Oryzias latipes: one gene and its partners. The main gene of each other region encodes a partner of the protein of the gene in region 5 in a complex. Links are inferred from orthologs where the notes say so. Each region holds a gene or a part of one and is shown on either strand. Other genes may lie near its edges. The genes, in order: non-structural maintenance of chromosomes element 3 homolog, smc5, nsmce1, nsmce2 and nsmce4a.

What was found.
Region 1: nsmce4a (region 5) and non-structural maintenance of chromosomes element 3 homolog share a complex: the UniProt entries of both Homo sapiens proteins name them as parts of the SMC5-SMC6 complex. The link is inferred for Oryzias latipes from reciprocal best matches to the Homo sapiens genes NSMCE4A and NSMCE3.
Region 2: nsmce4a (region 5) and smc5 share a complex: the UniProt entries of both Homo sapiens proteins name them as parts of the SMC5-SMC6 complex. The link is inferred for Oryzias latipes from reciprocal best matches to the Homo sapiens genes NSMCE4A and SMC5.
Region 3: nsmce4a (region 5) and nsmce1 share a complex: the UniProt entries of both Homo sapiens proteins name them as parts of the SMC5-SMC6 complex. The link is inferred for Oryzias latipes from reciprocal best matches to the Homo sapiens genes NSMCE4A and NSMCE1.
Region 4: nsmce4a (region 5) and nsmce2 share a complex: the UniProt entries of both Homo sapiens proteins name them as parts of the SMC5-SMC6 complex. The link is inferred for Oryzias latipes from reciprocal best matches to the Homo sapiens genes NSMCE4A and NSMCE2.

The regions. Positions count from the first base shown.
Region 1 is NC_019865.2:30,990,090-30,994,732, forward strand, and holds the end of non-structural maintenance of chromosomes element 3 homolog, read right to left. Parts: intron 3,756-4,643; coding exon 3,676-3,755; intron 3,587-3,675; coding exon 3,492-3,586; intron 3,412-3,491; coding exon 3,332-3,411; intron 3,213-3,331; coding exon 3,170-3,212; intron 3,071-3,169; coding exon 3,008-3,070; intron 2,009-3,007; coding exon 1,894-2,008; intron 1,792-1,893; coding exon 1,717-1,791; 3' UTR 1,576-1,716; downstream 1-1,575. Other genes in the region: 6-phosphofructo-2-kinase/fructose-2,6-bisphosphatase, read left to right, coding at 375-434. UniProt on the Homo sapiens protein: Component of the SMC5-SMC6 complex, a complex involved in repair of DNA double-strand breaks by homologous recombination. The complex may promote sister chromatid homologous recombination by recruiting the SMC1-SMC3 cohesin complex to double-strand breaks.
Region 2 is NC_019865.2:11,200,079-11,206,472, forward strand, and holds the start of smc5 (structural maintenance of chromosomes protein 5), read right to left. Parts: upstream 4,283-6,394; 5' UTR 4,229-4,282; coding exon 4,080-4,228; intron 3,133-4,079; coding exon 2,991-3,132; intron 1,963-2,990; coding exon 1,910-1,962; intron 1,755-1,909; coding exon 1,592-1,754; intron 1,513-1,591; coding exon 1,378-1,512; intron 1,266-1,377; coding exon 1,125-1,265; intron 1,032-1,124; coding exon 870-1,031; intron 1-869. UniProt on the Homo sapiens protein: Core component of the SMC5-SMC6 complex, a complex involved in repair of DNA double-strand breaks by homologous recombination.
Region 3 is NC_019859.2:37,084,125-37,090,458, forward strand, and holds the start of nsmce1 (non-structural maintenance of chromosomes element 1 homolog), read right to left. Parts: upstream 3,464-6,334; 5' UTR 3,353-3,463; intron 1-3,352. UniProt on the Homo sapiens protein: RING-type zinc finger-containing E3 ubiquitin ligase that assembles with melanoma antigen protein (MAGE) to catalyze the direct transfer of ubiquitin from E2 ubiquitin-conjugating enzyme to a specific substrate.
Region 4 is NC_019874.2:13,947,602-13,954,000, reverse strand, and holds the start of nsmce2 (E3 SUMO-protein ligase NSE2), read right to left. Parts: upstream 4,316-6,399; 5' UTR 4,020-4,315; coding exon 3,905-4,019; intron 3,701-3,904; coding exon 3,588-3,700; intron 3,410-3,587; coding exon 3,256-3,409; intron 1,055-3,255; coding exon 963-1,054; intron 860-962; coding exon 753-859; intron 599-752; coding exon 487-598; 3' UTR 1-486. Other genes in the region: washc5 (WASH complex subunit 5), read right to left, coding at 4,796-4,852, 4,997-5,084, 5,161-5,314, 5,422-5,518, 5,609-5,738, 5,959-6,062, 6,143-6,222, 6,309-6,399. UniProt on the Homo sapiens protein: E3 SUMO-protein ligase component of the SMC5-SMC6 complex, a complex involved in DNA double-strand break repair by homologous recombination. Is not be required for the stability of the complex.
Region 5 is NC_019873.2:26,869,971-26,876,420, forward strand, and holds the start of nsmce4a (non-structural maintenance of chromosomes element 4 homolog A), read right to left. Parts: upstream 3,628-6,450; 5' UTR 2,976-3,627; coding exon 2,816-2,975; intron 2,731-2,815; coding exon 2,650-2,730; intron 1,879-2,649; coding exon 1,748-1,878; intron 536-1,747; coding exon 384-535; intron 1-383. Other genes in the region: coiled-coil domain-containing protein 177-like, read left to right, coding at 4,369-6,054. UniProt on the Homo sapiens protein: Component of the SMC5-SMC6 complex, a complex involved in DNA double-strand breaks by homologous recombination. The complex may promote sister chromatid homologous recombination by recruiting the SMC1-SMC3 cohesin complex to double-strand breaks.

The DNA of each region.
Region 1 (4,643 bases), on a different chromosome or scaffold from region 5:
TACTTTTTCAACTTTGGCCTATTTTCCTTGTGCAGTATTGTTATGAAAACATTTTTGGAGTTAGTGCCAACATATGTTTAAAAGTTATTGGCCTGCAGTTTGTTACATAAATAACATGTCAGATCTATTGGAAAGGTTTTCATTGAAACACTGAAAATTCAAAAGTAAAGGATTATTAGAACATTTCCTTACAGTTTAGTAATGTTCATAAATTCTACAGTGTTTAAAAATATATATTTTTCAAACCTCTCATTTTTTATTCACGTTATTGTATTTTAATCTGCATATTTATAAGCAGAATCAATATTCCTGTGTGGACATAAATGAATGTAAACAACTTTCTAATAAGGATCCGTCCTCTTCCTGTCTGTCAGAATGTGGACGTGGACAGAGACCCAGAGGAGGCCCTGGAGACGGTTCCAGACCACATGTAGAGGACGCAGCTCTGCCACTCTGCTTCCCAGGAGTTTTACATTCAAGCCGTTTCCTTTCATCTTAATGCTGTCAGAAATACTTACCCAGTGGAATTTAACCATTATGGGCATTTTATGATTTCTGCTGAGAAGTTCTTTTCTGGTCCTAAAAATCGCATCTTTTACTTCTCTACACAAAGAAATTTGACCCTGAAGTTGGTCCAGTGGAGCTTCTGGGCTCCGGCTGCCATCTCCACAGCACACAGACCTAAATGCGAGGTGCTCCCATTTTCAAAACTGGATCCTTTCTTCCTCACAGGAAGACTCAATAAGTACAAATGCACAGGTTGTCTTCTGCAGATTAGCAGACAGGAAGGCTGTTGCCGTTTGTACCAGTGACCATGACAACCATATGTTGAGTGATTTGTGGAGAGTCTGGAGTGGAACGCCATCTTCACTGCAGCATGTGACCAGGAGCAGCAGCCAGACCGAGCTGGGGATCCAGTTTATTGAAATAAAGACACTTTACCCGCTAGTCGGTTTCTGCAATCTGACTTCAGCTGCTCCTCCCACAAATGCATCATCCTGACGAATGTGTTCCCATCTCAAAGGAAACAGGCTTTCCTGCATCTTTGAGACCACTGGACCAGCATTAAAAACAGCATTTTCCCCACACAAACCTTTGTGCAGATGGAAGACTGTTGTCACTTGCAGCTCTCAGACTGACTGCATCCAGCTTTCACCATCAGAAAAACACAGGAAGTTCTCATCCGCTTCAGGCTCATCACCATAGACTGAAACATGCTGGAGCTGCAGCTGCAGTCTGCTGCTCGTTTATCAGGTCAATTGATACGCAAGTTCTGTTTTATGTCCAATTTACTGTTAAATCATTAATCCAGATGACAAACTGGACTAGCAAGTGGGTTCATTCCCATATCACCTGCTGAGAACTTCAAAAACAAAGTAGCATTAGATGAACTCAAAGGCTTCCATTTTATTACTATACAGGGTTTTGGCGTGCTGTTAAACCTGGAAGCTGACTCAGCAGCACAACACAAACCTGCCAAATGAAGACTTAGGAGCTTTTTCAAACTAACAGATTTCTGCAGCAGTAACGGCTATGTGCTCTCGTACACGCATGAAAAACCAGCAGACCGTGACAGGCTGTCACATAGCTTGAACAGATTTATTTTTTTTAATAAAATGTATGAAAAGATACAGAGAAACCTGGCATTCATAACAATAATGCAATAGAAAAAGGCACAGACCGCTTCCAAAATAAATAAAAGCATTGCGATGGCAGTCATCTCTGGCTGCTGCTGCTGGCCTGAGCCTCTCTGTACAGCTGAGTCCAGCTCTGAGGCTCCTGCTCATGAAGCTGAGGGCAAACAGCAAAGCATCGTCAGTTCAGAGTCCACTAGTCTACATCTGAGAAGAAAGCACCACAAAGCAGAACCGTGGTCACCAACAAGCCACTCACCTGGCCCATGAACTCCAGAATCTTGGCTTTGGACACCTCCATGTCCGCCCGCTGACCCCAGCGGAATTCATGCTCCATGGGCTCAGTGTGAGGAATCCGCACATACTCCAGATACCTGCAGACATCCAGCATTCCCACGGTCATCCCTCCGGGCTTACAAAGGAATTAGAGGAGACAGAGCTGGAACAATGCAGGTCAACAGCGTAGGACAGTCTGGAAGGAGCGTCACTAAAATACAGAGTACTTGGGGTCAGACTGGACCGAACCGTCAAAGGTCGATGTCTGAAGCGTGCACTGCTCCAGCCGTGCTGCTGGGGGGCTGGCGGCTTCACCTTCAATTGCTCTGTGGTGTGGTATAAACCAGAGTCTATGGTTTGAGAGAAACTGGCTCTGAACACACCAGTGGGATTCAAGCTCACAGAGAGGCGTTTCAAACAGACGAAAACAAATGAGTGAAGAAGTAAAACAGTCAAAAAACAAAACAGAAGTCCTCCAAGCTGAAAGAGTATAATGTGGAACGTCCCACTCTTTCGCCGTCTTCTCTCTTCAATCTGGTTCAAAAAGAAATGCATGAAAAATGCAACGTACATCAAGTCTAGCCTCATGCACAAGAGGGGTTTATACAAATACACAACTTCTGTGTTTGAAGCTACGTAACCTCATAATGTAAGCAACATTTATCCACAGGACGCCAGCAGCCAGGGCTGCACAACAGGAGGAAAATTTCAGAGTGTGATTGGAGTGATCATTATTGCAACGATGATAATGTAAGGGTGGGGTCATCTGGACCCCATTGGATAGCACAAGGGTTAAGTTGATTCGTTAGCTACTTCACTCTGCCATGAGATTGTTTTTGCATGTGTGTAAACTTCTAAGGTAACCATTTATCTCAGTTTATGCCGTCTTTGGCGATACGCATATCGCACAGGCTGATACCGCGATAACGAAAATCTTTCTTTGGTTCAGGCCTGCCTTCAGCTAGCACAGGTTTGCTAAGCTGCTAGAAAAAGCCATCGTACCTGTGTGAGTCAGTAATAATGCAGAGCCTAATTCATATTTCTTGTTTTATTTGATTGATCGTAAAAGAATGTTCTACTGCTACGCTGGTTCTTACCTTTGACGCACAAACTCCTCTGTGACGAGTCTCTTCACGTCTCCAAACTCTTCGTGCTTCTCTCTGAGGTTTTCATCAGCAGACATGCAGAAAAGGAGGAAGGCAGTGAAACCTATGGAAGGTTTTTAAACCATCGCTAAAGGCACAAAAACATGGTCTCACCCAGAGTCAACTCGCAGTTTCTTTAGTGTGTTCCAGATGACATCTAAGAACCAAGAGGAGTAAACTTTAATGTCTTTACTGAGCAAAACAAACAGAACTAAAACAGTTAATGGAATTGACTGAATAAGGAACAAAACTATAGTTAAAACCTGTTAAACTCACTTTCTCTGACGACACCTCCCTTCATGAAAGTAACACCCAGAATCACGAAAAGTAGACCAAGTTTGGGATTTGCAGGGCATCTACACACACAGAAAAACAACAATAAACCTCATTTATGGACCATTCAAATGAGCGTTTCTCAAAATGACACGATACTCACTCGACTGGTGAAGGTTTGTCAGCGGCTTCCAGGTTATTGATCAATATATATGTGTGATTTTTGGGGTCAATTTCAACCAGTTTCAAACCAAACACCTGAGCAAGAGTTAAAAAAAGAAGAACCTCACAAATGTGATCTACTGAGACAATAAATGAAGACAAGAATGCAGTCAGGTAGAACAAACCTGCTCAAAGGTCCGAGCTGCTCGCTTTATGATCTCAGGATAGATGTTTCTGTAGTCCTTCACCACGTGTTTCACAAGGTCTGAGAAGACATTAGCAGGCAGTGAGTCACCTCTGCAGCTGTCGCATGTTCAAACTCCCTATCCACTGCTCTAGATGCAGTGGCGGCGTGCTTTCCACCACTGCGTCCGACGCTTTGCTTTGCACTCGGTGACGTTGGCTTGGATGCAGCTGCTCGGCCATGGAAACCCCTTCCATGAAGCTCTCTGCGTGCTGGACTTGGGCTAACATGAAGCTCCTGGGAGCAGCCCGTTCTTTCACAAACGTTAGCACAAACAGTCTGCATGCATGAGGGCCTGATTTGATACACCTGTGTTCAGGGCAAGTGATTAGGACACCTGATTCTGATCATTTGGACGGGGGAGCCAGTACTTTTGGTAATATAGTACATGTCTTCATCACCAGTTACATCGTGAAGTGAAGCTTTAACTCTCATGGAAAGTTTACCAAAATGCTTTGCTGCTGCTCCGCCCCTTCAAATAGGGAGGTGGAACTTAGATGAAAGGTTGGTCCTCCATGAAGAGGCGTGACAACAGTCTGCTGCTCTAAGCTTCAACAAACATTTGATACCCTAACGGGTGTTCAACTTCAACATTACAGAATGTTTCAAACAGGTTTAAAGACAATGTTCACATTTGAAATGTAAGCATCTATGTACTGTATGTAATTCATTTCTTGTGATTGAAGTTGAAGGCACAGATCCCGACCGTCTGGGACTCCTTCAGCCTGGATCCCAAGACATGTCTGTTACTTTTCAGCATGTTTTCTTTTACACTCGTTTCTATCTTTGAAGGACCGTTCCAGCCGCTGAGAGAAATCAATGTTAACAACCACCAACACACTGAACTTCAGCTTCCTGTTGACTCCATGTTGTCCTCTGTCGTGTTCTGGGTTCATTTCCTGCAGCTGA
Region 2 (6,394 bases), on a different chromosome or scaffold from region 5:
GAAACAGTTCTTTTAATGGCACCTGGACAGATTTGTTTGCTTTCAAAGACTTTACCACTATGAATAATATGTAATGAGTAATTGGCAAACAAAAATGTCTCAAATGTGCCAAAATAAACATGCAGCTTTAGCCCAAAGACATGCTGATCGAGATGAGAAGAAAAGTTGTTTGCTGACAAAAATCTATTGGACAAGTGGATTAACTGCTGGTTATTTACAACATATTTGCTCGTTTTGTGGCCCCTCGTGAAATAGATCTCATTGGAACGCATTAAATGACAGAGGTTACAATAAAAGGAACATCTCTTCACAAACTTTAACAATGAGTGAAATGATGCCATTCACTGGAAACACTGGGATTTCTAAAAACAAATGCTGCAGCTCCCTGTGTTTTACTTTCTGTGGGAAACGGATCCATTATAACAGTTGACCAATCGAATTGGTCAACTGTTATAATGTGAGATGCCTGGTTCTTATGTAGACGAGGGTCATTTGGAGTAAAATTTTAGTTATATTGACTTTTATTTCAATAAAACTGATGAAATGAAATGGAAATGACGTTGCAGGATTTGTTCTGTATCGCAAGTCATTCGTCATTGGAATATTGATCACTAATAACGTACATCACAGATTTTCTCATACCCTGCAGCCCTATTTGGTGCAATCACAGCATGGTGAGATCCCAGAGAGACTGACTGTGGTAAACATTACAGACCTCTCTCACCTTTTTAAATGGGACACTTTGCAGAATCGCTGACTTTCAAATACTTTCCCTGACCTGCTGTGTGTTAGGACAACAGTTGACAACATCTCATAAATACATGTCAGCTTCTGTATGTCTTGAGCAGAATGCAGCACCGTCTCTCTACCTTGGTCTTCATCTGTGCCTCAGTGGGCTTCAGCTGGTCATCAATGTCCTGAATTTTTCTTAGCATGGGAGTTTGGGCCTGTCGTAGGGCAGAAAGCTGTCTTTTGGTCTCCTCTCGCTCCCTTCTGACACCCTCAAGTTCCTTACGGGTAGTCTCGTACTCCTGTTGCCAGGAGGAAACAGAAACAGGAAAGATGCCCCGTTTGTTTGTTTGTTTGTTTGTCTCCTTCTTGTTAAACCAAAGTGACACACTTACAACCCATGGTTTCTTCTTCTCCAGAAGCTCAATGACATCCAGATGTCTCTTCTTTTCATAATAACGGTTGACATCATGCTTGTACCTCTCATTTCGTTGTTTGGCCTTCTCCAAGAAGTTTGCCTTCTCCTTTACAACATTCTACAATGAAATATTAGAATCTCAAAAACCGACGAAACCCTCAGAAAACAGTTTTGCTCAAAACCCAGAAAACAAAAGTACAAAAAATAAACCATAAAGCTTTAACTATTACCTCCAATTCTCTTTCCTTGTTGCGGAAGTTTTTGAGCTCACAGTGGTACTCGTACATCTCTGGGGGTCCCACAGACTTCTCAGTTGCCTCCAACAACTCGATCTTAGACATTTTGGCAAACTCACCAACTTTTTCCTGTTGGGAAAAACACAACATGAAGGAACTTGAGCAGTTTTCTGTCTATTAAACCCTTGGCACTTTCACAAACACATACCTGAGGAAGAAACTGGCAGAGGTTGCCGACTTGAATTTGCAGAGCCTTGACCTCCTCTTCTACCGTTTTCTGGTTGCAGTGTTTCCCATTCAGCATCCAAAGGGACTGATTATTTTCCACATGGATCTCCCTGTTAATGACTATGTTACCTCCTGTTTTGTACCTTCAACAACAGAACAGAGACAGTTACAAAAAATAAGTATGTTTAAGGGCACCAATGTTAAGGAGCTGTAAGCTTTTTCTATAAAACAACTGTGGCTGAAATGTCTGTTTTTAAAAGAATGAGTGACTTTGTGGAAATTATTTCACATAACTTACAATTCAATCTCAATGGACCCTTTATGGCAGCCACGCTTCACATAAAGCCCAACCTGAAAAAAAGGTAAAGGAAGTCAAACCTGTTTAAAGTCCTTGCAGCAATTCTAACTTTTTTCCAAAAATGTATACATTTCTGTGCTTTTTTCTCTCCTTTTTTCCCTTTTTGTCCTTTTCTGTGTATTGAACATTGCAACACCCCCTTGTTTGTTAAGTGATTTATAGGTTTAGGTTTGTCCTACCGGTACATGTTTTTGCTTTGTTTGTATCATTGAACTCAAAATAAGGGGTAAAAAACGTCTATGTGCCATTTCGTTTTATTTCTGTAATGTCCCTGTTGTATTTGAGTGAACTTAAAATCTATAACAAACATAAGTTGGAAGCATATTTAATTGATAAGGACAAGTGTGAAGAATAGTTAGAAACTGCCTTTAACTTTTATTACACTAATGGTTTAAACTTAAGTCACTAAGCATGTATTATCATCTCAAAATTATATTACATTTGAAGAAAGCACAACCAAGACTGTTTTCTCATAGCATTCCTCATCCTCCCTTTTTCCTTTTTGTGTGTGCTGGTGTTTGTGCTGTTTGTGACACTTGAAGCTTCTTGACCTTCGAGCATCTCGCCTGCAACAACCTGTGGCCGTGATTTTCACACCACTGTCCAGTGTATGATCTTCTGAATATGCAAATGCAGGGTTCTTATACCAAGACCATCTCTCTGAGCTTCGGTGTTCAGACTTTGAATGCACTATATTCATCTGTCTGTCCCCTTCGTGTTTGTACGAAGTAAAACTTCCACAAAAGATAAGTTTTGTCTCTGAGTCATTATTCATTCGTTTCTGTGTGCAGCAAACTGAAGGGTACGACCTTAACCTTATTTTTATCTACAGTCCTGTTTAGAATGATCAGTTTCCTCACAACAAGTAAATATTTGGCCAAAGTTTAAGTGAGTCATGGGATGCAACATTGCTGAACTGTTCAAGGTTAAGGCTTCTGTCAAAATCTACCAGTTACTCTGATCTTTTATAGAGAATCTCATCAACACACTTCAACTAAATAAATCCCAACAGTACATTTACCTTATCTCCTCTCCCCAGAACAGCGGTCTTTCCAGCCAGGCCCAGACAGATGGCACAAACAATGCTGGACTTGCCAGTTCCATTTGCACCAACAATCATGTTCAGATTTGGTCCAGGACACACCACAGAGTAGTCATAGGTCCTGCCAAAGTACAGCGAAGACACCGGTCATTTTCCAGCCACATGCAGGAAAGTCACACTTTAATTCTTCAAACAAAAAACATCAACATTACGGGTTTTATCTGTTTTTCAACAATTCAATTAAATTAATGATACGAGAAGAAGATTAAAGCACAGTGACACACAACGCGATTTTAACACAATAAACATACATAAAGGTACTCGTAGAAACCTGTTTATGTGGTTTGTGGAACTGTAAAACTCATGCTTGACACTAGTACACTGAATGTTACTGAAGACTGAATCTCACATTTTCTAATACTGTTCAAAGATGATGCAGAAATGCAATGAAGTGTAGAGAACTGTGTTTTACACTATATTAATGCACTTTTCATCTATTCTGTAGATTCTGTCATTCTTGTTGCAAATCATGTGATGTTTTTTTCCCTTTATTGAATATTATGACAATTTAAGGATGTTGGAAGATTTCAGTTAACATCACTGAAAATAATTCAGATGACATTAAATTGGCACTTTCAGTTTTGGGTTGTCAAACTCTCAGACACAAATGTGACATTGGCTCTTTGCTTTTAATATTTTCCAAATTTTGTAAATTAAAAAAAGACGAAAAAATACATTTGAGTTTAAAGACGTAAGAATAACAATTACTGGTAGACTACATCATATCCGAACCTGACAAAAGAGTTTTCATTTTTCTAAAGTTGAAGTCGTTTAGAATTAAAATACATAACATACACAACTGATGAGTTCTACGTTAACGGAGCAAAAACAGCCCAGCTTACTGACTTTATTCCTCTTCTACAACATCGGTAAACCAAAACACGCTTCAGTAAAACATATCATATGTCAGCTTGTCAGAGCAAATGTAGAGGCTAAGCTTTTACGGTAGTTTGGCGTTAGCATAGCTAGCTTAACTAGTGTGACTAGTGAAAAGGAGGTGGAACTTACAGGAAGTTTTTCATGGTGATGCGCAGAATGGAGCCCTCCACAAACGGATGAGCTTCATCGACATCCCTGGTCTTATAGAAGGCCTTGGAAGGAGTCTGTGAACTGTTGTTATGGTGGCTGAGCCGCTGCTTCTTACTAGGCTCAGCCATGTCAACAGACACTGATATACTAGTGATGGGAAGAACAGTTTGCCCTGCCGCGCTTTCCCGAGGCAAAGCTGAAAGATGATTGGTGAAGATAGGTCACGTGTGTCCACATTTGATGACGTAAGATTCTAAACAGTGCCCCACCCCCCCCCAAAAAAATGTTTTACTCTTTTATACTGAGAAATAAAGTAACCAGTATTTGAAACATTCTGTACTAAATAGAAACACCTGTACATATTTAAACTGTTTACATTAAACAAACTCTCTCACAGTTATTAATTTTATACTAGTGCAACCTCCTCCAAGCCCCAAAAAAGGGCACTGTTTTTTTATTTTTTATTTAACCCTGTTAAATTAATAAATAAACACAATTTTAAAAAGATATTTGTAAAAGACAACTATTTTTGTTGTTGCAATGGGATCAGATTATGTCTTGAAGTGTGTGTGGTGCAGGATCTGGAGCAGCCCACCAGCAACTAATTGTTGTTGTTTTTAAGTTTAATTCAAACATGTTAATAATAAGATAAATATTCTCTATTACTTGCCTGGAAATAAAGAGGAATGTTTTAAGCCTAACTTGGAATGTAGAAACTGTGTTGGCCTCTCTTACATGAACTGGGAGCTTATCCCATAGAACAGGGGCTTGATGGCTAAAGGCTCTACCTCCAAATAAATACAACTGTGTATGATCCGCATAACAGTGACAATCAATAGTGGGCAGCGTATAAAGCATAAAGGGGAAGGGTCCTAGAACTGAGCCCTGTGGGACTCCGTAGCTAACTCGAGTTCCATGAGAGGACTGTCCATTTACATTAACAAACTGGTCCCTATCGAATAAATAGGATTCAAACCACTGGAGGGCAAATCCTCTGATCTCTATGTCATACTCTAATCTTTGGAGTAAAATACTGTGGTTGATAGTGTCAAAGCCTGCACTGAGGTCTAACAGGACCAGAATAGACAGTAGTTCCTTTTCTGAGGCCAATAATAAGTCATTAGAGACTCTATATAGTGCAATTTCAGTGTTGTGGTGTAGTTTGAACCCTGACTGAAAATCTTCAAATTGACTATTGTCCTGTAGGTGGCGGTAAAGCTGCTTAACTACCACTCATTCTATGATTTTTGAAACAAAGGGGAGATTTTTTTTCTTCTTTACTTTATTATAAAGGGGAGATTTGATATTGGACTATTGCAGGCCAGATTGCCGGGATCTAAATTGAGCTTTTTTAGAATAGGTTTCACAACTACATATTTAAAAGACTGTGGCACATAACTTGTTTCTAGAGAGGTATTTATTATACTTAATAAATACTATAATAAATAATAGTTGCATTTGATCAGGTGACTTTCCAAATAAATCTCCATTTCATCACTTCTCCACCATTCGCAGCAGTTTTGAATTCAGAGCAGCCTATGAACATGCCCGTTCTTAAAGAGAGACATAACTCATTCTGTGTTTGTGGCTTTGCCGTTGAGAGAGTAGTAATGAGTCTGACAACAGGAAAGCAAGCAAAACATGGAGAATCAAGAGCAAGAAAAGAATTCCATCTATAACCGGCTCTAAATGCAACCCGCACCTGAGAACTGAGAGAATCTTAAAACCAGAGCACATCATCACTGACTGAAACTGAGACACTTAGGCATTTTAAATGCCAACTTTCACTATGAATGATTAAAATCTTGTTTTTCTTGTTTTGCACATTTAAATTTATATTTTGTGTTGTGGCTGTTATGTTTTCTGTTTTTTCACTTTAAATTTGTTTAAAATGAAAAAGTCCAAACATTAGATAGTTTTGAGTAGGAGTGTAGTTTTTTCTATTTTATAATTTATTTCTTACATCAGCAGTTAACAAACAAAAGCATGTTCATATAAAGCACATTTTAATAAAAACACTTTTTTAGCAAGAACAATTCATTTTGTGTATAATTTTATATTATTGTTCATATTAAATTAATTAAAGCAACAAAACAATCTGAAGAGCTGATTGGGAGCTGAAAAGGTCTGCTGTTTCAGGTGAGCCAAGCCAGACGGAACCATTCTCTGTAAGAGGAAGCAGAATTCCCATCACTATACAAATGGAGGAGTCTTTGCTAGCATTGTTTCTGTGGTCACATTCCTTTACAAACAAAGGGAAAATACAGAAGAAATTTTAGTTTACTGACATTTGC
Region 3 (6,334 bases), on a different chromosome or scaffold from region 5:
CAACTCGAGACAATATGAGACAACACGAGACAACATGAGACAACATGAGACAACACGAGACAATATGAGACAACACGAGACAATACGAGACAACACGAGACAATATGAGACAACATGAGACAACATGAGACAACATGAGACAATATGAGACAACACGAGACAATATGAGACAACACGAGACAACATGAGACAATATGAGACAACACGAGACAATATGAGACAACACGAGACAACTCGAGACAACATGAGACAACATCAGACAACATCAGACAACATCAGACAACATGAGACAATATGAGACAATATGAGACAACACGAGACAACACGAGACAACATGAGACAACATCAGACAACATGAGACAACACGAGACAACATGAGACAACACGAGACAACACGAGACAATATGAGACAATATGAGACAACATGAGACAATATGAGACAACACGAGACAATATGAGACAACACGAGACAACACGAGACAACATGAGACAACATCAGACAACATGAGACAACATGAGACAACATGAGACAACACGAGACAATATGAGACAATATGAGACAACATGAGACAATATGAGACAATATGAGACAACACGAGACAATATGAGACAACACGAGACAACACGAGACAACATCAGACAACACGAGACAACACGAGACAACATCAGACAACATCAGACAACATGAGACAACATGAGACAATATGAGACAACATGAGACAACACGAGACAACATGAGACAACACGAGACAACACGAGACAATATGAGACAATATGAGACAACATGAGACAATATGAGACAACACGAGACAATATGAGACAACACGAGACAACACGAGACAACATGAGACAACATCAGACAACATGAGACAACATGAGACAACATCAGACAACATGAGACAACACGAGACAATATGAGACAATATGAGACAACATGAGACAATATGAGACAATATGAGACAACACGAGACAACACGAGACAACACGAGACAACACGAGACAATATGAGACAATATGAGACAACATGAGACAATATGAGACAACACGAGACAATATGAGACAACACGAGACAACACGAGACAATATGAGACAATATGAGACAACTCGAGACAATATGAGACAACACGAGACAACATGAGACAACATGAGACAACACGAGACAATATGAGACAACACGAGACAATACGAGACAACACGAGACAACATGAGACAACATGAGACAACATGAGACAATATGAGACAACACGAGACAATATGAGACAACACGAGACAACACGAGACAACACGAGACAACTCGAGACAACATGAGACAACATGAGACAACATGAGACAACATGAGACAACTCGAGACAACACGAGACAACATGAGACAATATGAGACAACACGAGACAACACGAGACAACATGAGACAACATCAGACAACATCAGACAACATCAGACAACATGAGACAATATGAGACAATATGAGACAACATGAGACAACACGAGACAACATGAGACAACATCAGACAACATGAGACAACACGAGACAACATGAGACAACACGAGACAACACGAGACAATATGAGACAATATGAGACAACATGAGACAATATGAGACAACACGAGACAATATGAGACAACACGAGACAACACGAGACAACATGAGACAACATCAGACAACATGAGACAACACGAGACAATATGAGACAATATGAGACAACATGAGACAATATGAGACAATATGAGACAACACGAGACAATATGAGACAACACGAGACAACACGAGACAACATCAGACAACATCAGACAACATGAGACAACATGAGACAACATCAGACAACATGAGACAATATGAGACAACATGAGACAACACGAGACAACATGAGACAACACGAGACAACACGAGACAATATGAGACAATATGAGACAACATGAGACAATATGAGACAATATGAGACAACACGAGACAATATGAGACAACACGAGACAACACGAGACAACATGAGACAACATCAGACAACATGAGACAACATGAGACAACATCAGACAACATGAGACAACACGAGACAATATGAGACAATATGAGACAACATGAGACAATATGAGACAATATGAGACAACACGAGACAACACGAGACAACACGAGACAATATGAGACAATATGAGACAACATGAGACAATATGAGACAACACGAGACAATATGAGACAACACGAGACAACACGAGACAATATGAGACAATATGAGACAACATGAGACAATATGAGACAACACGAGACAATATGAGACAACACGAGACAACACGAGACAACATGAGACAACATCAGACAACATGAGACAACATGAGACAACATCAGACAACATGAGACAACACGAGACAACATGAGACAACATCAGACAACATGAGACAACACGAGACAATATGAGACAATATGAGACAACATGAGACAACATGAGACAATATGAGACAACATGAGACAATATGAGACAATATGAGACAACACGAGACAACTCGAGACAACATGAGACAACATGAGACAATATGAGACAATATGAGACAACATGAGACAATATGAGACAACATGAGACAATATGAGACAACATTACTGTGTGAGCTAGCATAACCTGCTTTCTGGAATACCCCCCTGGGCTATCATAGGTAGTGGGTGCAGTATTTAGGGGGGGTGACACTTATAAGTGTTTTACTTGTTCTCAATCCTCTTCAAACATTCATCTTTCTTTTCCTATCTATTTTTCCTTATAGCATACATCTGAAATAAAATATTGTATCTACACGTGTCTGTCTATGCTCAATGTGATTATTAGCTGGATGTGTTGAAGGAAATACCAGCCTGAAGTTTAATAAAAAATGTTTGAATTAATTACTCATATATACCAGACATTAAACAATATTTGTCCCAGTTGCAACAAAAAACCTTTGTCTCAGCTTAAAAGAATAACCTAAAGTTAATTTTTGTTGTTTTTTACTTTTGTAACCTAAGTCGTTGTTAAACGGATTTACTCTTTGTTCTCTATGTCAATGTTCTGAAAGTGTTTTAAAGCTACTGCTAGACGCTTGCATGACAAAAAAGGCACGAGAGTTGAATGTTATCACCATTATTTAAATACAAATGTAAAATATGGTTTCACAAACAGCATAAACTCGCAAAATGTCAAAGATAAAAAAAAACTGGGATGTGTTTAGCAGTTTGGAAACCCGTTAACTAACTTATTGGGTTTGTGGTTTGAAATCAAATGTAATTAATCTCTGTTAAATAATGTGCAGAGCGACTTTTCTGCTTTCTATTCGCTTCATTTGACAATATTTACACAGAAAAACATACATCCACAAGAGTTTACAGATGTTTACCTTTCCCGCTCCAGCACGAGGCACTTCCGTGTCGGTTCTTCTTCTTCCCGCCTTTCAGAGAGTTATTGCTATTGATTACTGCCACCTGCCGTCAGGGAAGAGAACAGCAGATCACATTGTTTTCACACACAAATTCACCGACAGCTCAAGAAAAAACGAGAAACACCATAATCACTAAATGAACAAACAATTTATTAGAAAAATTAATACATAATTTATATAAATACTGTAGCGACCTGGGGGTTAGGGGTTTATCTTCTTAGCCTCTTTCTTCCCCTCTGAAACTATCCAGGGTTGTGTGGTGTGTGGGACATGGTCAGCTCTCTCATGTAGCCACTTAATAAGCAGCTTGGCTATAGTGACTTACCATCTGGGTTGTTACAATACTAGCTATAGTTATAGAAATATTATTTTTTAAAATACTGTACAAAATAAACAATTTAAAACACAGAAAATACATTAACTGAAGAATTATTAAGACTAAGTTTGAGTAGTCTAAAATAGTATTGTAAATAAAACTATTTTCTCTTTATATCTCAACATTTTATTATGAAAAAAAACCTGTTTATTTACATAACTTATACCAGTAACCTAATTTCCTGCTATACATATTAATAGTCCAAGTAAATGCTCTAGTCCTGCCTGCATGCACTCATTTTCTATTGTAGAGTGAATGTGGCATTAACCAGTCTTCAGTGGTCCGTCACCTTCATCCAGTCTTCAGTGGTCCGTCACCTTCATCCAGTCCTCAGTGGTCCGTCACCTTCATCCAGTCCTCAGTGGTCCGTCACCTTCATCCAGTCCTCAGTGGTCCGTCACCTTCATCCAGTCCTCAGTGGTCCGTCACCTTCATCCAGTCCTCAGTGGTCCGTCACCTTCATCCAGTCTTCAGTGGTCCGTCACCTTCATCCAGTCTTCAGTGGTCCGTCACCTTCATCCAGTCTTCAGTGGTCCGTCACCTTCATCCAGTCTTCAGTGGTCCCTCACCTTCATCCAGTCTTCAGTGGTCCGTCACCTTCATCCAGTCCTCAGTGGTCCGTCACCTTCATCCAGTCTTCAGTGGTCCGTCACCTTCATCCAGTCCTCAGTGGTCCGTCACCTTCATCCAGTCCTCAGTGGTCCGTCACCTTCATCCAGTCTTCAGTGGTCCGTCACCTTCATCCAGTCTTCAGTGGTCCGTCACCTTCATCCAGTCCTCAGTGGTCCGTCACCTTCATCCAGTCTTCAGTGGTCCGTCACCTTCATCCAGTCTTCAGTGGTCCGTCACCTTCATCCAGTCTTCAGTGATCCGTCACCTTCATCCAGTCCTCAGTGGTCCGTCACCTTCATCCAGTCCTCAGTGGTCCGTCACCTTCATCCAGTCTTCAGTGGTCCGTCACCTTCATCCAGTCTTCAGTGGTCCGTCACCTTCATCTAGTCTTCAGTGGTCCGTCACCTTCATCCAGTCTTCAGTGATCCGTCACCTTCATCCAGTCCTCAGTGGTCCGTCACCTTCATCCAGTCCTCAGTGGTCCGTCACCTTCATCCAGTCTTCAGTGGTCCGTCACCTTCATCCAGTCTTCAGTGGTCCGTCACCTTCATCCAGTCTTCAGTGGTCCGTCACCTTCATCCAGTCTTCAGTGGTCCGTCACCTTCATCCAGTCCTCAGTGGTCCGTCACCGTCATCCAGTCTTCAGTGGTCCGTCACCTTCATCCAGTCTTCAGTGGTCCGTCACCTTCATCCAGTCCTCAGTGGTCCGTCACCGTCATCCAGTCTTCAGTGGTCCGTCACCTTCATCCAGTCTTCAGTGGTCCGTCACCTTCATCCAGTCTTTAATGGTCCGTCACCTTCATCCAGTCTTTAATGGTCCGTCACCTTCATCCAGTCCTCAGTGGTCCCTCACCTTCATCCAGTCTTCAGTGGTCCGTCACCTTCATCCAGTCTTCAGTGGTCCGTCACCTTCATCCAGTCCTCAGTGGTCCGTCACCTTCATCCAGTCTTCAGTGGTCCGTCACCTTCATCCAGTCTTCAGTGGTCCGTCACCTTCATCCAGTCTTCAGTGGTCCGTCACCTTCATCCAGTCTTCAGTGGTCCGTCACCTTCATCCAGTCTTCAGTGGTCAGTCACCTTCATCTAGTCTTCAGTGGTCCGTCACCTTCATCCAGTCTTCAGTGGTCAGTCACCTTCATCTAGTCTTCAGTGGTCCGTCACCTTCATCCAGTCTTCAGTGGTCCGTCACCTTCATCCAGTCTTCAGTGGTCCGTCACCTTCATCCAGTCCTCAGTGGTCCGTCACCTTCATCCAGTCTTCAGTGGTCCGTCACCTTCATCCAGTCCTCAGTGGTCCGTCACCTTCATCCAGTCTTCAGTGGTCCGTCACCTTCATCCAGTCCTCAGTGGTCCGTCACCTTCATCCAGTCCTCAGTGGTCCGTCACCTTCATCCAGTCTTCAGTGGTCCGTCACCTTCATCCAGTCTTCAGTGGTCCGTCACCTTCATCCAGTCTTCAGTGGTCCGTCACCTTCATCCAGTCTTCAGTGGTCAGTCACCTTCATCTAGTCTTCAGTGGTCCGTCACCTTCATCCAGTCTTCAGTGGTCCGTCACCTTCATCCAGTCTTCAGTGGTCCGTCACCTTCATCCAGTCCTCAGTGGTCCGTCACCTTCATCCAGTCCTCAGTGGTCCGTCACCTTCATCCAGTCCTCAGTGGTCCGTCACCTTCATCCAGTCTTCAGTGGTCCGTCACCTTCATCCAGTCCTCAGTGGTCCGTCACCTTCATCCAGTCTTCAGTGGTCCGTCACCTTCATCCAGTCTTCAGTGGTCCGTCACCTTCATCCAGTCTTCAGTGGTCCGTCACCTTCATCCAGTCCTCAGTGGTCCGTCACCTTCATCCAGTCATCAGTGGTCCGTCACCTTCATCCAGTCCTCAGTGGTCCGTCACCGTCATCCAGTCTTCAGTGGTCCGTCACCTTCATCCAGTCTTCAGTGGTCCGTCACCTTCATC
Region 4 (6,399 bases), on a different chromosome or scaffold from region 5:
AAAAGATTAGCTTCAACACTGCCTTCGTTTGTGTTTTTCTGTGAAATAATGACCCTTCATAAGCAGCGTGAATAAGCAAAGCGAGGTTTAAACACATAAGAGCATTTCCACAGAGGTGAAAGAACAGACTGTTTGTCACCTTGGAAGTTTCAGGATAATCTTTACATCAAAAAAAATATTTTTCTGCAAAACTGGAGGATGGAACTCTCAATTGTTTCATTTTTTTTTTTACTGTATTTACTAATTACAGTATCTTCACCTGACACTAATTTAAAATAGTAGAAAAAGCCCCTAAACGGCTTTGTGGAAACGCTGCCCTCTTGTGGTGTAGCCACATTATTGCATCACCAAAATATCAAACATGATAAAAAAAAAAGACAAAAGGTTCCAAAAATTCAGATTTAATGAACAAATATTTGCACAAAAATAGAACATTTGCACCCCAAAAAATAAAACATGGACAGATAGGTTATCAGTAAAGCAGTGCTAATTTTTGCTGTTTTTCTTCTTTTGGTTCTGAATCCTTCTTCTCAGTATCTGATCAAGAATGAGGTCTGACTCTTTCACATCTGCGTTTTCACAGCCCACCACAGGACATCTAAATGAAATGGAACAAAGCACAAATATCAGTTTCTTCTTTGGAACACTTAAATCCCTCCAACACAAACTTTGTAATCGAGAACATCACCATATCCTCAAAATGGAACTAGATTTATAAAGTTTCATTAGCTCAAAAGACTAGGGTTTCGTACCGGCACTTCTTCTTCAAGTTGCGTCTTGTTTTGATCAGGTCCAAGATGGCAGATTCATCATAGTAGTGGTTGCACTTTTTATTTTTGACTGGTTTTAACATTTCCACCTTAAAAAAAAAAAAAAAAAAAAAAAAAAAGCTTAACGTTAAAAGTTAAACAGGTGTGTCAGAAAATAGGTGGTGGTGGGGGGGGGGGGGGTCAGCGATGTACCTGTGTGAGCGGGCAGGTGAAATTGACCTGGCTCTGTGTGACGGCGATGTCCTCATCAAACTCCTCCGTGTTCTCTGCTGATTTCTGATTGGCTAAGAACACAAGCATCTCATTTGTAAACCTTCATTTGTTGCACAAAACCCTTAAAAAGTCGGCAGGAAAATACGCAGGTAAATGCCAGAATGTAGCTAAAGAGCAACATATTTTGCTTTCCAAATAAATAAACCCTCCATCCACAAAATCTTACATTTAAAAGTGTGCAACAGAGACATTCAAGACATCCACCTACACATAAATCTTTTTTTTTTTTTTCATTTTATAGATCATTTTCACAACAAATTCGGCTTCATTGTGGCCTGTAAATGCTGCCGGCTGAAATTATCTTCAAGGATTATGCAAATGAATGCAAATTATTGCTATTTTTAAACATTTATTTCAATATGCAACCTTTATTGATGTCTTCAGAAAAATAGACACAAACATTAGCCGCGGTTACATGTACAAAATGTTTTGATCGGATTCGAATTCAACCGTGTACATGGGCCCAGAAAAACTTTTTCCGATTATAATAAATGTTTACATGCGCCAGATGATCTTCTAAACGTGCTTTTATTATTGTTATGATTATTATGAAGCGCCTGCTTGCTCATTATTTATTTTTAATCTTTGTGGTCAGCTCTTTTTTTTCTGGGAGAACGGACCCGGAAGACGTTAGCGTTAGGAGTAGAAGGCTAACATGCGCTAACAACATTTAGCCTTGGATGAACATAAAATCCATGGGGGAAACGCCGCAATCTGCATCTTGGCTACATGTAAATATGTGGGAATAACATCAGCCTTTATTTTGTCGGGACACGAATGGAAACACAAATCCACGTGATTGTTTGAACGGTTTCTAAGGACTGAGCGACATTTCTGCTTTAAGCACACACCGCCCCAAAGCCGCTGTGTGCTCTGCTCGAAGACACAGTTCTACTGGGAGACCCGGCTCTCCTGAGTTTAGCAGCTCGTTCACCTAGAGCTGCAGTCCAAAGCCTCCCACTCATAGCACACACGTTACAAAGCACCCTCTCCTCCCCTCAAACACAAAGCTATAAGTCTGGCTTCTCTGCTCAGAGACACGGTTCACTCGATCCGATCAACAATCGGCATAACCCACCTATCTCGATTGGAAAGAAATTTTGATCAGAACAAGTCTGATCGGGGCAGAGTATTCCGAACGGCGTGTTTACATGACACATTTTTCTTCCGATCAGGTGTTCTTTCCAATTACTTTTGTCCATATAAACGCAGCTAGTAAGATAAACACAGATTTTGAAAAATGTTTTGAGTCAATAAATTGGAAAATTATGCAGTTTATACTTGTTGCATCTTAATATAAAAATGATGGGTGGAAAGGTGTGGATTTTACATGGTCTATTGCACTTTGTTTCATAAATGTCTCGAATTCTGCACTTGTGAAGCATGTCCCATTGTCTGATACCAACATCTTTGGAGGACCAAACACACTGAAACTCTGTCGCAATTTTTCAATGGTGATTTGTGAAGTAGCTGATTTCACCGAATAAATGGTTTTAGGTCATAATGGTTCTTCATCAGTAATACAAGCTCATTGAAGGACTTGTCTTTTGGCTTGTCTGGGCTGAGGAGGTTCGCATAAACTGTAGGTCGGTGCTCCAACTACACTTATCAACATTGCCTTTTGTCTGTCTTGATTGTCTATTTCATTGGCCGCAAAAAACTGTTCAAGTATTTCTGTATACTTAACCCAAGTTTGAGTCTTTGGATCAAACGCTGCTGGCGTGCCAATTGTTGCCATGCTTCACTTCTGTGGGAGGTTAACCACGTATCTTTCTGCTGCTTCTTTCTTCTTTTCTTTCTCTCTCTTTTTCTAAGGTCTATGGGCTTTTCTCCTCCTTAAAAATCCTCTTCACCAAAAAGATGTTGCATCTTCATATAAAAATGAAGGTCCCACACATTGAACTGGGTGCAACAGTTTTTCATTTGCATAACAGAACCTTTCTGAACAGTGGATGCTGTCCACCATGGTTCCTGACTTCTTCGTCTGTCACCACACGGCGCTACAACTCAATGAAACTTGTAGGCTTGCCCTCTGGTGGCCACTTACCTAATTACAATACAATATTAAACCAACAATCTTCTCAAATTCAACATACCACATTACTAAAAAATAAAAAAATAAATAAAAAAAGTAAGATGCGCTTTCAAACAATGCCTCAGAAATCAGTGAAATTATTTTATAGAGATATAAAAAAAAATTCAACAGCCTTACTTTGTTTTGAAGCGTTCCCGATGCTGTCCTTAAAGGCAGCCACTTTCTGATGGCTGTGGATTTCATCATCAGAAAGTCGGGCTATTCTCTCTGAGAACTGCTCCTTCACTTTGTCAGAAAGGCCGAACAAGGCCTCTGGTTGCTGTGCATTCACCTGCACCAAAGTGAGGCATATTAGATCATTTCTTTTTAGACTTATAAAAATGAGTCTGCGCTTTACAAACACGGATCTAATCAAAGCACAAACAAGCAAAAATAGGGACAGATAACGCTGCAGTAAATGACCTAAATGAATTATTGTTTTTAAACCTGATCCTCATCATAATAGTTACCTCGGATGTAACTTCTTTTGCGATGTCTACAAAGATGTTAATCTCCCTGTCCAGCTTGGCACAGTCCAGGATCATGGTCTCCAGCTCTTTGATGGAAGAGTTCATCTCTTCATCTGAAATGTAAAAAATATACACAAATATAAACTCAATTATTACAAAATATAAGTGCACGCTGAATGGAGCTTGGTCACATGTTTAGCATAATTGCGATAAAACACCATGTTCTTGGACTGCTTCACTATACTAACTGATCCTAGAAGAATAAAACCCATTTCTGATCACGTTTGCAGAAAATGATGCAGGCTCCGAATGTTTACCCTGAGATTCCACCACATCTATGGCAACGTCCGTCACGATGTCCATCCCCGTCGCAATGTCTGCCAAACACGATTTTAAATTGGACAATGCGCCGTTGACAGCACTCAGAGACATTGTGTTCGTAACTTTTATCCCTAAAGTCCAAAGAAAAATCACTGTGTGTTCACCGTTATTGATATCTTCCTTATGTTAACGGCTAGCTAGCTAACTGCTAGCCTTATACTCGCGCCGTCTTGCGAAAAGATGAGATATGCCAATGTATCTCAAAATAGAAAAAAAAACAAAAAAGATAAGTAACTATTCTTAATTCAAAGTACAACCAAAGATCAAACGATAACAAAAAAATAAGAAGGAAAAGGAAGAAAAGTAGTAAACATTTGAGATGAACGGAAGTTACAGTTTCACTTCCGTTTGTTTCTTCAAACTAAAAGCCATCAAATAAATTCATAAAGAAAACAACGAGCAGTAAAGAATTATACTGTATTTATTGATAAACAATACCACAAAATATTAGTATGGAAATGTTTTTGATTGAGCATTAAATGTACAGTTTATTAATACAAAACTTTATTGTTCTAGAAAATGAAATATGAACTACTTCTTGAAGCTTTTTTACATTTGACATTGTGGCCTTTTCTGGTTGAAATAAAAATGTATTTTTAACAAAACACATTTTGTTATAACATTGCAGAAACAGATTATAAGGCTGGGCATGAAATGTATATGGGGGGAAAAAAAGCACATCCTAATTTCTGAACAATTAATTAGAGCAAAATGATTGTTGCTTCTACCACAAAAATCTTTGCCACTAGATCAAGACTAATATAAACAAAGAAAAGTACAGTACAAACAAAGACTGCATCTTCAGTTTGATGTCCTTGTCCGGGGGCTCACAAAATAGTTCTGAATTCGTCAAAAATGAAACTGGGTACATGAGCTTCAACCACCTTAAAACAGATAGATAATAAAAAGAAATGCATGTTAACAATCCTTCAAGTTTGTAAAAACAAGCTGTCTTAGCATGACATAGCAATTCTTTTTCTTCCAGATACCTTTAAAATAAACCACCTCTAAAGTAACTGTTTTCTTACCTTGCGTGACAGTTTTGTGTATTTTACATAGTCTTCAAGGAACATCAGGGCCCCCACAACATCAGAGGGCATTTCAGGGATTTTCTGGCTGTGACACCAGTAAAAGACAAATTTAAGAAAACTGCAAACAATGGGTTTGATCAAAATGTTAAACTTTTAGTTACCTTGTGCACTGCTCCATAACAGAGCGGATGAACTGTCCAAGCAGAGCAAGGAAGTGCTGTGTGTATCTGGAGTGGAACTGCTTGAGCAGGGTGAGCAGACCCAGCACTAGTGGGGGCCAGTCGACAGGATCGGTTGCTTTCTTGCAGGTCATTCCTTTTACACAGAGAAAATCCTTAACTTGGCGTGTACACAGAAAAAGTCACCACAGAAATTCACAGATTCCAATCCATCAAGCTAAGATAGCGAGAAGTGAAACGCACCTTGATTTTTGTTGTACTGAAGTTTAGGCAGCTGAGCAATGATAAACAGGAGGTTGATGATGGGGAAGTAAGGAAGACGCTTTGTGGTGATGTAAATCTGTTTGAACCAAAAAGAAATAAACATTGTTTACTGGTGAAATGTGGCATTTTTAACAGGCTAATTAAAATAAAATAAAACCTTGCAAACCTTGCTGAGCGGGTTATGAATTCCAGCAGCTTCTAGGTAGGCAGTGATCTCATACAATAGAGTGTTTTCTTCTTTAGGATAAGGGAGAGATGGATCCTGGTAGTGTGCTTCTATGTCTGCCAGAAGAGACCTAACAAGAAGAAGAGATCACAACAGGTGGCAAAATGTAGCCTTAAGCTCACAAAAACACAATATGCTATAGTAACAAATGTTATCAGTTGTTAGAAATGAATGTATTCTAAAAAAAAAAAAAAGTGAGAAACACCTCGTGAACTACATCTCTAGGTACATATTTTCCATACAAAACTGCATAAAAAGAGCCTGAATTTGGCAGAAAACACAACACTTACTTGTTGAGGTTTTCCAGGGCAGCTGCCAGGTGTTTGGAGTCAAACTTGCAGGAGAAGTTAAGCTCATTGGCAATCTGCTGTCTGAGAATCTGCATCTGACCGACCTACAACAAAGGGATGGAACATCATTTTCATGACGTGAGCAGATATATCGAAAAATAAAATCATAAATGTTTTGATTTACCTTCATGATGGCCTCCAGGTATGGACCCCAGATCTTCTGGGATTTGGCCACAGCACTCGTGTACGCTTTGCTGGCATTGGCTATATAGCCAAAATACACAATCAAATGATTAATACCAATACATGACTTTGGCTATACATTTTCATGAATGAGAACAAGAATTTACCGACGATGCCTTGGACTGGGTTGACTGCAGCCAGCACAGTTTTGAAGACTTCCACCAAGGCTTTGTCCTTCAGGATGCTCTTCTGAAGCAT
Region 5 (6,450 bases):
GTTTGTCCAACATTACTCTGCATTTTTGAGTGAAAATTACACTGCACTGCACTTTTATTACTCTCTACTATATTTATAAAGGTAGCGAATCAGCGATCTCGGTCATCGTTTGAGTTTTCAGATACTCGTTACCGCCCGAAAAATCGAGCAATTGTTCATAAACACCAATTTAAAATAATTCAAACATTTGTAACGGATTCACATGCCTCTGTTTAAATCTGTATTCTCTAAGAATAACTGATCTCTATCTGCATGCTGGATGATTATCATCATCGTGTCTTTTGTCCCAATGGTTGACAAATGTCAGACAAATATACAGAATATTGAGATTTTGTGGTGTGACTGTGGAATGTTGAGCAGAGGAACGTCCCTCTCTCCCTCACATGTAGTGGAAGGACGGAGCCGTCCGGAAACAACACTCCACTCGTCTGGACAGCCGGTGCCAGGCGTCTCTGGGCAGGTAGCCGTCGGCTGCGCCTGCATTCTGCGGACCGCCGTCTCCGTCCTCCAGTCGGTTGAGTCCCATGAAGGACAGCTGGAGAAAAACACAAACATGTTCATTCATAGATCCACGGAGGTTTCATTATTATTCAGAGAAACATCCAGTCAACTCTTTGCTGATTATTCAGCAATACTTTTTAGAGAGAAATGGATTTTATTTCAGTTTTTCTACTCGTACATATTTTTGACTAAAAAAACAAAAGAGGAGACATGCTTTAGTAAATGTGCGGATCTTTTACCAATAAGGAAATTAATTTCTTTCTATTCGTCTCCTCTTAGCTTAATATAAAAACATACCAGCCAGAACAACTTACTTAGCAGCGTGGACTCGGGCTGTAACGAGTATCCGAATACTTTGATTTTTTTTATCTTTGACGTCTAAAATCGCAGATTTGCGATCTTTATATAGTATAGTAACAAAATATATACTTAAATGCAACTAAAATGCAAAATAATGTATTTTTAATATAGACTAAACAGGCCGTATGCACCACTGTCACCAGAAGTAAATAAATCTTCAAAATAAAGTGTCAGTGAAGATTCTCATTTTCAAAGTAAAAGTATCTCGTATTTTTATAGAGGACAAAAAAATTAAAAAAAAGTACTGAAAAACAGATTTTGATTGAATGTGGAAATTAAATTACAGTAAAAAATATATATAATAAATATGAAATAAAGAATAATACAAAAAGGAGGTCATGTGACGGTGTAAAAGAAATTCTGTTTTCGTCTTTACGCTTTAAGGACTGTGAGTGTTTTCTAGTTGTTTGCGTCTTCATTTACTATCGATCTAGTGGGACTGTCTTCAGCTAAACATTCAGCTGTGGAGAACATTTTCAGGGTTTGTTCCAAAACGACCTCTGTGTTTATGTTTTGCTTCCTGCTGAAGTCAACCAGGAAGTTGAGTGTGTGATGTTGTTTAAAGTGATAAAAAACATTTCTTTCTTCCTAAATCTGTGCTTTTGTTAGTGATGTTCTGTTGATCTCCTGTTCTAAATAAAACGTGTAAATGATGGTGATTGAATACATAATATTTTGATTTTCATTCATCCAATAAAAATACAAACATGTAGCAACCATTCAAACATAATATATAAAATAATCTTGGTTTGATCTTGATTCATGAACTGAATCAATCAATGTTTCTAACATGAACTCCATAAAACATGAATTTTTCTGGGGTCCTTCATAAATTCGGGGGAACAGACATCCCAGCAGCTCTGTGCAGAACAGCAAACACACTCACCAGATGCTCAGCAAAGGCAGTGGGGTCAAAGGCGCTCCCCTCTGAAAACAGCTGGCTGGCTTTCTCTTTGCCCAAGTCTGTGGCCACAACGAGGAGCTGGGCATCGAGAGCAGCTTCTCTCGCTCTGCGGACTGTCAGAGAAAAGTTAATCAGAGCGGTTCACCTGACAGGTTAGAGAACGTGAGCACTCTGTGTATAAATACTTTATTACACCATAGGGGTGCAATAATCAAGCTACTTAATCAACGAATCATTCATACTACGATTCAGACAGATCGATCTGTGTGAGGTAGGTTGTTAATTGAATTGCTCTTAATCGTCATAATCGTTTCAAAATAAAATAAATTGATTACTTTGGAAAATACTCTTTGACTTGAGACATGGTAGTTTTATTTTACCATAACATAAAAATGACCAATCACAGCCAGTCCTAAGTGTGGAAACAATTTGAATTTAGCAAAGACATGTGACCATATATCGTGCTAGAATAATCTTTTATTTTGATGTGGAAAAACCACAGTCTGTAGGAAACTAAAATGTGAATGGATTTGCCATTATTTCCAGCATTTCTCCCTGAGTCCCACTGATGGAAGTTTTGGCTAAAGCTGTCTTGGATCCATTGTAGGTCAGTGAATCAGATCGTTCAAAATGAACCAATATCGACTATAATCCTATGGTCATCCACAAACTATAATATGAATCGTTACACCCCTAATAAATCGGAATAAATATATTTTTTCTGGCTGCAAAAAGCGAGGAGCTTTATATAAACTTTATTCACTGAAATCTGGGTCATTCTGTTTAAGAAAACCGTTGTAACATCTTATTTTGGATGCAAAAAATAAAAAGGAGAGCGCGCGTGCGCCCCATCACAGACTTTCAGTGGTTGCCATGACACCCACCATCTTTGAACAGCTTGTTTGCCTCCTCCAAAACCTCTGTGAGTTTATCCGTGGATGGACTCAGCATGTCCTCCCTGTTTTCTGTGGGGAAAAGGTCAACGTGAGGGGCGGCGTGAACGACTTGTTTGTAAATAATGTAAACAAGTAAACAACTGCTGGTACTGACGCTGCACGGTGTTGATGAGGTCCCGGTATTTGCTCCGGATCTCCCTCCTGCGGCCCGTATCGTTGTCGTCGTGTCCGTCCTGCAGACCGACCGGGTTGGTCTCAAAGTCTGCTGAGCCATTCTGCCGCGGAGCTTCCTCGTTTCTTCTGCTCTTCCTCATCGCAACGCAACGGACACCGGGAAAAAACGTGAAAGAAACTGCCGCGAAAGGCAGATAAACCTAAAACTGTTTACAAAAGTTTTGCCTAATCAACTCCACACTCCTCGAAGAGTTGTTAAGTTTTCGACTAACTAAACACGATTGTTGTCGTTGCAATTACTGCAGGATGTTAATGTTATTGTTAACGAGGCAAGCATGGATGGAGCGAACTAACTTATTCGCGCGCGCGCTTTTCTACAGAGAAGCTAATTTCAGAAACCGATACTGTAGAGAACTAACCGTTCACTTGTCACGTAAACAGATCTTTGGCATGTTTCTCAAGTTTACGAAGAATTGAATAAACTGTTCAAAAAGTAGCTTAAAAACACACACCGACATGCCTACGCCACTGACAAAGGTTCCGGGTTGAGACTTCCGGGACAAACAGGAAGCTGAAACCAAGCGCCAACACCAAGCGGAAAACAAAAGGTTAAAACTAAAGAGATGAACTAAAGCCTCTACAAAATATATTAATTTTAAATTTTGGGAATTTAATATACATTTATCCCATTCACTACTGATTTATAGATGTATTTAAATTTCTAATGTCAACGTTGAGTGAAAATCATCTTAAGAGTCCCCGTTGACACAAAACCGGAAGTTAAAACGACGCATTATCTTGTCCTTTAGCATCTTGGGGATTTGCAACAGTTGCAAATACTGTTGTAAAACATAATAATAATAATAATAAGTAACGATTTAAGTTAATCCCCAAACTGAACTTAAAAAAGCTATTTCTGCAGTAGATGTAGACCTTCTGACAAAAAGTAGACATGAAGTAGGTAAATAGATAAATAAAAAGTTGCATAAAAAACTTGAGGGAAACCCTAATTGTTACATCTTAAAACTTTAAAAATAATCATGAACTTTTAATCGAAACATATTCAAACATGCATATAAATTGTGTTTAAACTGAAAAATTCAAAAGGTATTTCGTACACTCCTCACTGACAAACTGCTTCAATTGTTAATGTATCTATTTATTTTAAGGCTGTATTCTTCTGGCAGTGTTTCACATAACAAATTTGGTCCACAAGAGGATCTTCTTTGGCATTTTATTTTGAAATTAATTTATACGTGCTCCTGTCAAAACTTAAATCAGTTTAAATTGTTACATATAGACAAATATAAAACGTATAAACAAAGCATCATTTTTAATTGGTGAAGTGGGGCCTTTTCATTGGATTTTGGTAAGTGAGAAACTGGACCAAACGGTCTCAGACGGTCATTCAAACTATCCGACAGACAGGTGAGGTTTAATCGACAGTGAACCACGTGACGCGCAGATAATCCCCTCCTGACCCGCAAGCGCCGCACTGATTGAGTTGTGCGCAGGAACCGCCGAGGCTCTTCGATGGCTGGGTTTGGGTTCGGTTCTGGATCTCTCTCTTTGAAGAACTTTGGGTCGGATAGAGCGGAGAAGGGCAGCCTCGTTCCGTCGAGCTCGCGCGACCCATGCGCCGGTCTCAAACCGGTTCAGCTTCTAATTAAATCTCTGAACGATTTAAGCGCGGGGCAGAGGCGGTCTGCGGTGCCTTTCGAGACGATGACGGTTCTGCACGAGTCTTATGGAAAAGAAAGATCTAAACTTTTGCAGAAGAAGCGCGAGGACGGGACAGATGAGGCGTGGCGCGCTGATGACGCAGCCTGCCGCTCAGAGGAGAAACCTGGTCCAGGACGGAACCGTTCTTCATCAGATGAGCTCCAGATGGCAGGACCTGTTCCATATGCAGAGCTGTGCTTCAAAGGCAAGACCTCCTGCAGGTCCACCTCCTCTGTTGCTGAGAGGAGAGACCCAGACAGGGGCACAGGCACCAGCTTCAGCCTGGGAGATCTCAGACACTCCCCATCCACTGAGATGAGAATTAAGACGCTCGCCACTGAAATCCAAAAGAAGATGTGCGTCACAGTGTCAGAAAGGGACCAAAAGATAGCCGCCCTGATGCTGGTGAAGCATGAGGAGCAACAGGAGCGTCTGAGACTCTCTCAGCAAGAGGAGCAAAAGCGTGAGGAGGCCCGGAAACAGGCAGAGTTCCTGCAGGAGCAGGCAGAAAGACAGCGGAGAAAGAAGCTGAAGCACAGACTCAAGTGTTGGCACCATGAGCTGGAGGCCCGCAGGAGGCGGAGGGAGCGACAGGAGCAGAAGGAGGCAGGACAGCTGGAGCAGGAGGTGCTGCTGCAAGAGGACCGCTGGAGGAGGCTGAAAGAGGAGGTGGATGCAAAACGCAGAGAGAAGATAGAGGCTGCACAGAAGGAGGCAGAGGTGCGCAAGCGTCACCAGGAGAGGCAACTGAGAAAGGAGGAGGAGAAGGAGGAGAAGGAACGAGAGAAGGAAAGACAGGTTGCCGTAAAGAAAGAAGGGAGAGCCCGGAAAAGCAAAGTGCAGCAGGAACAGAGGGAACGGAGGAGGTTGCAGGAGGAGAATCGCAGGGAGCAGCTCCGACACATCCTGCTGAAAAAACAAGTGGAGCAGAAGATGGAGGAAGAGGAGGCTCAGGTGAGGAGCGCACTTGAGAGAAAGTTCCAACACTTCTCAGAGAAACGGGCTCAAGTTGCGGAGGCTCAGAGGAGGGAGCTGCAGGAGCGCAGCGTCCGGGAAGAGGAGCAGATCCAAAGAGTGCAGCTGAGGGCGGAGCTGCAGAGCCTCCAGCGGCTCACGCACCGGCAGATGCTGGTGCAGCTGAGCCAGAGGCGCGTGGAGAACGCCGCTCTGCACGCCTCCTCTCTGCAGAGGAGCAGAGCTCAGCAGGTCCGCCAGCACAACGACCACAGACAGGCCCGCCACCGGAGGATCCGGGACCAGATCCAGGAGGAGGAGCAGGCCGTCACCAAGGCCAGAGAGAACCTCGTCTCCGAGAAGGAGCGGAAGCGGGAGAGGCTGCAGAGGCAGAGAGAGCAGATCCAGGAGGAGGCGCAGAGGCTGGCCCGCGCCTCCTTTCACATGAGGGAGCGCGTGCGGCAGCAGAGGGACACTCGAACCTTTGATCGGATGGTTCTGGAGGCCCAGCTTGCTGCCTCCATAAGCCGCATAAAACTATAGAGGATCAGATTTCGGCTCCAACATTCCCTCAGCTTTTATCAAGCTGGACACCAGCAAACGTTTGGATCTCACGATCCGAAGAATAAAAGTGTTCCAGGATTTGTTTGATCTGATCCATAAAACCACATGGCGACCAAAGCTGAGCTCAAGCCTTTATGGGTCGTCTTCTTCAGGAAGCTGCAGACCTTTCAGGTCACCATGAAACCTTTAAAGTGCGTTTTGTTTGGTTTTTAACCACTATTTAACCCCAATTTATTCTTCTTTTGCATCAACCATCATCACTTTTCTCTGCAAGTGTCTTCTGCAAAAACAGATATTTTAAACACGCACCTCATAATTAAAGACCAACTCTGATGAGAACGATGTTCTTGTGGCATTTTACTAAAGATGGAGGAT